Linked DNA regions of Oryctolagus cuniculus. The protein of the gene in region 2 interacts with the protein of the main gene of each other region in a biochemical or structural test. Links are inferred from orthologs where the notes say so. Each region holds a gene or a part of one and is shown on either strand. Other genes may lie near its edges.

Region 1 (4,277 bases), on a different chromosome or scaffold from region 2:
CGCCGGCACACCGGGTTCTAGTCCCGGTTGGGGCGCCGGATTCTGTCCCGGTTGCCCGTCTTGCAGGCCAGCTCTCTGCTGTGGCCCGGGAGTGCAGTGGAGGATGGCCCAAGTGCTTGGGCCCTGCACCCCATGGGAGACCAGGAGAAGCACCTGGCTCCTGCCTTCGGATCAGCGTGGTGCGCCAGCCGCGGCGGCCATTGGAGGGTGAACCAACGGCAAAGGAAGCCCTTTCTCTCTGTCTCTCTCTCTCACTGTCCACTCTGCCTGTCGAAAGACAGAAAGACAGAAAGACAGAAAGACAGAAAGACAGAAAGACAGAAAGAAAGAAAGAGGTGGGGAGAGCAGGGAGCCGGGGCTCCCACATGTCCCAGCCACCGCCGCCACCTGACTGCTACTGACTGCACGGAAAAAGTGAGCCATGCCTAAGTGTCACCCCCGACACTGAAGGAAGACTGTGCCTGCCAGGTGACAGAGGGCACCTGCTAACCCTTAGACACGGAGCTGGGGCCAGGCCTCCCATCCGGGACAAAAGCCCCTGTCACGTGCGCTGTGCGTGGCCCTCTGATGTCCTCACCAGCCTGGACTGAGTACGGGGACCTTGAGCCTGCCAGGCCCCTCGGGCTCCGGGCAGCAAGGAGCTGCCCCCTCCCCCCCACGCACACTCCGTCCATGACTCGGAAGCGGATGACTCGAGGGTCAGAAATAACCCCACCGTCAGCCCCCGAATGCCACCCCTCCCCTCCCCTCCATTCCCAGAAAGTCTGGGCCGTGAGTCAGAGAGAACAGTCCAGAAGGAGACAAGGCCACAGATCCACTCCATGGAGTTCTCGGATAGATCGGGGGCCTGGGCATCGCCACGTGCTTCCTGCAGGCCATGCTGGACCCAGGGCTGCAAGGAGCTGAGCCGTGGGGCCCACGGAGGAGTGGGGGAGAGAAGATTTGGGGCACAAGGGAACGGGAGAACAAGAGCCGAGCCCCACTCAGGGGGTGACAGAGGGTGATGCCCCCTTGCGGGGTCTCGGGTCTCCCAGCACAGCGGGCACTCAAGTCAGCAGGAGGCAAAGGCCAGTCCAGAGAGGACAATGGAGACACAGCATTAGGGACCGAGGCTGCCCAGGTCCGACGGCCCTCCTTATTCACTCCCTCAAAATAGTCCGGGGCGCTCCCCACCCCACTGCAGGCTGAGTCACTGACCCCTTCCCCGGGGAAGACCGGGGATGAATGAAGCTCCCCTTCTCCTCCCCTGCCCGAAGGACATGTAACTGACTCCCCGGGATGCAAGAGTGACTTCCACAGCCCTAAAAATAACCGAACCACTTAATGCTCTGAACATAGCCCGCCCGCCCCACCCTGGCCCACCCCCAGCCAGCGAGATAAAGGCAGCTGCCGGGGCTGCCAGGGGACACAGACCCAGAGCCAGGGCTGCAAGAAGGCACCTGACGGCGGAGCCCACGGAGCAGAACCAGCCCCCGGCCAAGAAGCTCAAGAGCAACGGCAGACCCCCGGGCCACCCTGCGACAGTCCCCACGCCCCCCACCAGCCAAACAGGACCCTCGGTGAGTAAGCTGCCCGCTCTGTCCTTCCATGGCAGGACCAGCTACCAGATGGCAATCCCGTGTGGATCCTGCGGGATAGGGTTAGAGGGGTGGCTCGGGTGGGGGGGGGCACATATGGGCAGTAGGTGTAGGGCAGCGGATGAGTCTCTGATCAGGCTGTGCCCACCTGGGCCTGGCGTGAACCCTCTGAGTGGCCGCCGCGGGCCCAGGCCAGCAGAAGAAATAGGTCCTCACCAGCCAGGCACAGTCCACAAATGCTTTTCAGGAGCCCCTCCGAGACTCCCTCGCAGGAAGGTGCCAGGCGGGCCCAGGGTCTGGAGGAACCAGCGACAGAGAGGAAGAGGGCGTGGGCCACAGGGCCCAGCAAGTGGGCCCAGCGTGCAGGGCTGAGACAAGCCCTGTGCCAGCTGTCGTGGGTCAAAGTCCTAGCATATTTGGCCCCAGGGATAACTCCCTGGGCTGGACTGAGCCCAGCAACCCCCGGATGTGGCCGAGAGCCTGGGCGTGATGACCGCCCCAAGCCAGCGTCTTGCCCAGTGCTAAAGCCCTGGGGGCCGAGCTGCGGGCTCGAGGCAGGGCCAGGGACTAGTTCTGAGTCTGCCCAGAAGTAAAGCTATCCGGGGCCGGCTGGGCGGAGGAGGAAGCCTGGGGCAGAGATGGGTGGTTCTGAGAGCCCAGCCGAGCCCTGGCAGCCCATTCCCTGGGATAGCTCTTGGGATCGACCTCACCCTAAGTCTTGTCCCAAATCTGAATTCCACCCTCACCCTTCCCCTGCCCTAGGAACCTCAGGCCAGACAAAGGTGCAGGAGATGAGGGGCAGGAAGCTGCCTCTGCCTTCCTGAGCCCCCACAGACAGCTCCTTGCCCCTCCAGGGACCTGTTTCCCTCTCTGAGTCGAGTCAGTGACCTCTGAGGTTCCCTCGGTGTGACTCCCTCCCCTGCATTCTGGGGATTCCTGGGGGTGGGGGCGGGGTGGAGCTGGTGGCTGCTCGGGCCACACTGGAGTGACAGGAAGGGGCAGGTCTGCCTTGGGCAGACACTGAGGTGGGACTGTAGCTGCAGGTCCCAGAGCTCACGCTCCCCAGGGGCTCCCACACCTCTGCTGGACACGGCTGGCCGGCTGGGCAAGTGGTCAGCTTCCCCTCTCCTCTTTCCGAGACAGCCATAGAAGGAGCTCCCGCCCCCACCTGCTGCCAGTGTCCCTGCACCTGCTCCACCTGCGAGTCCCTTTCACCACGGGAAGGTCACTACTTGACTCGCAAGCCAATGGCCTGGCACCCACTCAGGAGGCAGGATTGGGGAGACCAGGATGACAAAGAGGATTGGCTGAACCACGAGCAGCCCAGGTCCCCACTGGCTGAGCCCTGGGCTGCTGTTCTGAGGCCAGGACCTCAGCTATATTTAGCACCAAGTGTAGAACGGAGCAGTGGGTCAGGGTCAGTGGGGGAGGCGGTTGGGGGGGGGCGGTGAACATTCTTTCCCTAATGGCCTCTGGGAACTATCAAGACACCTGTCACAGGACTGATAAGACAGACGTGGGATGGAGAGCAGGGGAGGGTTTGAGGGCCGAGGGGTAGAACTAGGGAGAGGCCACGTCCTGGTGGAAGCTGATTCACGTGGGAAGAAAGGAAGCGGAGGACCAGGAGCCAGGTGCAGGCCCAGTGATGATGGAGGCCTGCAGGAAGAGGTCTCAGCTGAGCCCTTAGAATGCTGCCTGTTTGTACGTGGCTGGGGAGGGGTCTCCACGCGCCAGGGGTGGGGCCTTGGGCCCCCACCCCTCGGGTGTCACCTTCACATTTTCCTGGGAGAACCTGCTGGGGGACAGAGGGGCACCACGCCAGTTAGAAAGTTTCCCACCTCCCACCTTCTTTTTGGGGACCAGTTCCTAATCGGGTCTAGGGACCCTGAGCCGGCAGTACCTGTCACTCACTCACTAGGATCCGACTCTGGGCCCCAGTTTCCCCAACTGTAATTACAAAGGGTCCTGGTTAGCCCCCATAAGCCCAGATCGTCTGAGTCATGGGAGTACAGCACAAAAACCCTAACCTGGGATTCAGAATTTGGCTCTGTCTGACCACAGGACATCTGGTGAGCAATCCCCTTCTCTGGGCCTCCACTGCTTCCGCTGTGGCGTGGGCTGCCGCCTCCCGGAGTCTGGGAAAGGTTGGAGGGAGTTGTGAGCCAAGGTTGGGCAGAGTTCCCGGTCCAAGAGGCAAGTGCGCCCTCTGGTGTTCTGCCAGGGGAATTTCACCTCTGTGGGGGAAGCCCAAACCTCAGTTTAGGGAACTCCCTCTTCATGACTAAGACTCTTTAAGTCAGTATTCCCCGGGGCCACTTCCTTGGGAATCTACCAGGGAAAACTGAGTTTGCCAAAGGGGAGGATGAGACATATTCGGTTTTCCCGCCGGAGGCCTGGACATCCTTTGTGGGGTTGAAGGAACTAGCTTTGTGGCCAGCAGTGCTCCCTAGCAATCCAGGTGACCCCAGGGAAGTAGAATCCCACCTGGATGGATGGGTCCACAGGTCTGACTTCAAGATCTGTTGCCCACCAACCATACAGGTGGCAAAGTGAGGTACAGGCCCAGCTGACCTGGCGAGGGAGTCTCTAAGCTGCTCCTGGGCCCTGTCCCCTGCCACTTGTCCCCAACCCGAGTCTCACTTCTGCCCCCTTCTCCCCAGAAGGATGGCCGACGCCCAGACCCAGCTGGCTCCCTCCCCA
Region 2 (3,801 bases):
TGGCAGGGGCTCGGCACATACCAGGCCCATAGGCGAAGGCCTTCTTGGGGTTCAGCTGCTTGGAGCGGACAGGGGCTCCAGGTTTGAGCTTGGCCTTGGGGAACTGGGACAGGTAGGTCATGACCGAATGCTCGTCCACGTTGGGGTCCACGATCTCCTCGGGTGCAATGACCTGTCACGGGAGGACAGCTGGTACATATGAGGCGCCTTCCTAACCGGCACCCTAGCCCGGTTTCCTTGGAGAGCTGACCTCCCCCCCACCCCTCCTGCACCCCCCCGCACCCCATCTGCGAGTGTACCTGGGGCACTCCGAGCCAGTCGTCCGCCTGCTGCATGGCCTCCCGGGCGTTCTGCACGGGCTGGTTGGGGTCCCAAGCCTCCCAGTCGGGGCAGAGGCCTGGAGAGATATGGAGGGAGAGGGTGGTCAGGGGAAACTGGGCAGCCAGAACTCAGAGCATCCGCTCCCCCGGTGTCCCCAGCAGCCGAGGGGCTCGCACGCCTTCCCACCCGGCTCTCAGCTCCTGACGGGCCAGGTTCTCGGGGCTGTGGCCACCCGCTGAGCTACCCATCACTGTGCAGAGGCACTGCAGCCCTCCCTACCAACAATGAGGTCTTTCTGCCCCAGCTGATGCAGGCTGGCACCAGCCCCGCCAGCCGGCCTCCTGCCTGCCCAGGGCCCAGCACAGACCCCTAAACACTGGAAACCCCATGAGGGTGTCCCCCCATCCCAGGCCCCTCTGGCCTCATTTAAGATGCCTCAAGGGTAAGCAGAGGTCAGAGTCTCTGTCCCACCTCTGTCTCTGACTACCAGGTGTCCTCACAGCTACCCTGGGTTCCAGAGCCCTAAGCACTTCCCATGCCAGGCCTTGGGACTAAGGCTCCCTTGCCCTAAGTGCCTGCTTGGGGAAACTGAGGCATCGAGGGGCCTGCTGGGAGAATATGCATTCTCCACCATGGCCATCGAGAGCCCAGCCTCAGGAAGAAAGGGAGACGGCCCGAGGCCTCCGGTCAAGGGGTGCGGGGCTGGGGGGCGCTTGCTAGGGCCATCGCTGGAGGGGGCGATGTGCGCTGATGGGGAGGGGGCGGCGGAAAGGCTGGAATCCGTGACCGGCTGGAACAGCTGAGCTCACCGCTGGCAGCCATGCCGGCTGTGGGCACCGGTTCAGCAGCTGGGAATGCTTCCCAGGCAGTGGGCCCCCCCTCCCAGGCCCTGCTCCCCGGCTGACCCCTGGGTGGGGGAGGATTCCCCTGAGGGGCTGTGGCTCCCTGGAGGTGGGGCTGCCCATCCCAGCGAGGAAGGAGAGATGAGGAACGCTCAGGAGATGAGGTCAGAAAGGGCTCGGGGGGTGTAGGGGGCGCAGGGGGGCTCTTGCCTGTGCTGCCTTAGTTTTCTCAGGGCCCAAGTCTGCCCCGCAGGACCAGGTCATGGCCTACAGCCAGAAAGGGCAGGGCTGGGTTACACCAACCTCAGCCCACATCATCCTGAGCCCAGTCTCTTCCCAAAGCTGCCCCGGGGTCTCACCACACACAACCTTCCTGGAGTCCACCTCCTGGCTGTCCTGCTACCTATCCTGCCTGGGACAAATGGTGCCTGGGAGGCAAAGCACAAGTCCATGGAGTAAGCAGGCAAGGCCCTGGGCTCCAGGTGCGGTTCTGCCACAGGTAAGCACGGCACTGGTCCCCCTTGGACTTCACTGTGCTTATCTAGAAACTGAGGCATCCTAGACCTTGCCTGTCGCTGCCAAAGCTGGCCTAGCCTTCAGGCAGTCATTCTCAGCCAGAAGAGGGGCAAGCCCCACAGGAGGTCCTGACCCCAGGTGCTGCCCTGGGCCTGAGCACACCCGTGTGTTGGCCCACTCACCAGGAGCACAGTTGTCCACCAGGGCACCAAGAGCTTTGCCGTCCTGCCAGTCCCGGTTGAAGTTGGTGATGGGCAGCTGGGGCACCTTGTTCTGGATCCAGCCCAGGAGGCGCTGCTTGGGCGTCTGTTTGCGGGCATCCTCGTCGTCCTCATCCTCCCACATGGGCATGGAGATGGAGTAGTGCAGGATCAGGGTCCAGATCAGCCCCAGGATGAGCTTCAAGTTCCCATCCACGATGGCCTTGCTGTCTGCAGAGCACAGGGGACACCGGGCGGGCTCAGGAGGGCCTCCCGCTCCACCCAGCCCTCACCCACCCGACCCCCGAGGCGGCCTGCACATACGCTCCCCACCTGGAGAACAAAGCTCCTTCTCTCTCTGACCCCACAGCAGGTCCCATCACCTCCTCTCTGGCACCTGAGGCTGGCTCCTACCTAGGCAGTTATCTGTGTGTGTTTGTCCCTTCTGGTTCGGTGTGGCTACTTTATCGAGGTATCTATGACATACAACAAACCTCACAAATTCGAGTATAATTCGATCAGCTTTGACAATGGGCATACCCATGAAGCCGTCACCATAACTGAGAGTTATAAACCCATCCGTCACCCTCCATGGTTTCCTGGACACACCCCTTTATAATCCCTCCCTCCTTCCCTCCTGCCTGTTCTGGAACCCCCTCCCCAGGCAACAACTGGTCTTGCTCTCTGTGGCAATACATTGGTTCCCATTTGCTAGAGCTGGATCTGAGTGTAATCGTAGAGAATACACTGTTCTGGGTTGTTCTGGCTTCTTTTGCTCTAGAAATTGGGTTTTCTGTTTCTACGCTGGGAGCCCAGAACTTGGTAGAGTCTCAGCAAATACTGGTTGAATGAATACTGTGAAAACTGCAATGGGGAAGACCGGGCAGATCTGGCCTGTTTCACCCAGAAAGGGCTTTTGGAGCAAAGCGGTTCTGGGAGGAGGCTTAGAAGTGACGTTCTCAAGTGCTGGGGGCCAGTGGGACCTCCTTTTGGGGAACCTTGAGGAAGGTTCCCCAGAGATTAGTGGACCTCACTCCCCTCTAACAGCCAGAGGGTAACCTCCAGGAGTGGGTGGGGCCCGTGTGGCTCTCTGGAACCAGCTCATTTGTAAGGGACAAAGCCTGGAGCCTGCTTCTAGGAGGCTGGGAGGGGGCAGAAAGCTCGGCTTGTTTACTGATGTTGCCTGGGAGATGGGAGAGGGTGGGGCATGAGGCTCCCCCTTAGACATCCTTTCTTCTCCCCCTCCTCCAGATCTTGGTGTGGGGGGTGGGGGGTGCCAGGAGACCAAGGGCCTGGGGAACTCCGGCATCCCCCACCCGAGCCCCACCTGCCAGGAAGGGCGAATGGGGGTCTGCCTGGCCCTGGGCCTGGGGCTCTGACTCCTGGGCGCGCGCGCGCGCACACACACACACACACACCCCGTCCTGATTCATCCTTCCTTCCCCAGCTGCGCCCCAGCCCACCCCTTTCCCCTGGCTCCACTGCAGCACAATGGTTTGGCAGCTCCCGGATTCCATGACACACTCACGGCCGGCCTCCCGGTGCTTGCTGCTTTCGCTCTCTGTCACACACGCACACACACACACACAGGTCCACGGCACTTTCACACGAGCTGTGACCTGGGGCCCGCCCCTGACAGCCTCCCCAGCTGAGGCTCACGCACCCAGAAGGGCTTCTCGGAACCCTGGGAGGGAGCCCGTGAGGCTGCCGGGGTCGGTGGTTCGGGGGTGTCATTCATATTTGCTGGAGACAGGGCTCGCTCCCCAGCAACTGGCCCAGGGCCAGACAGCAAGTGGTCCTGGCTTTGGGGCAGCAGACTGGCCGGCAGGCCAGGGCCCAGAGCTCCACTCTGGGAGCAGTGACCTTCCTCCTCCTCCTCCTCCTTCCCTTCAGAGGCCAGGCAGGCGAGAGGAGCTCAACCC

The links.
Region 1: the proteins of FLNC (region 2) and XIRP1 form a complex in vitro, tested with the Homo sapiens proteins (2 studies listed by BioGRID and IntAct, with this or other methods). The link is inferred for Oryctolagus cuniculus from reciprocal best matches to the Homo sapiens genes FLNC and XIRP1.

The regions. Positions count from the first base shown.
Region 1 is NC_091441.1:108,152,298-108,156,574, forward strand, and holds the start of XIRP1 (xin actin-binding repeat-containing protein 1), read left to right. Parts: upstream 1-1,399; 5' UTR 1,400-1,559; intron 1,560-4,237; 5' UTR 4,238-4,241; coding exon 4,242-4,277. UniProt on the Homo sapiens protein: Protects actin filaments from depolymerization. Required for correct cardiac intercalated disk ultrastructure via maintenance of cell-cell adhesion stability, and as a result maintains cardiac organ morphology, conductance and heart beat rhythm.
Region 2 is NC_091434.1:165,030,073-165,033,873, reverse strand, and holds part of FLNC (filamin-C), read right to left. Parts: intron 2,111-3,801; coding exon 1,862-2,110; intron 398-1,861; coding exon 300-397; intron 173-299; coding exon 22-172; intron 1-21.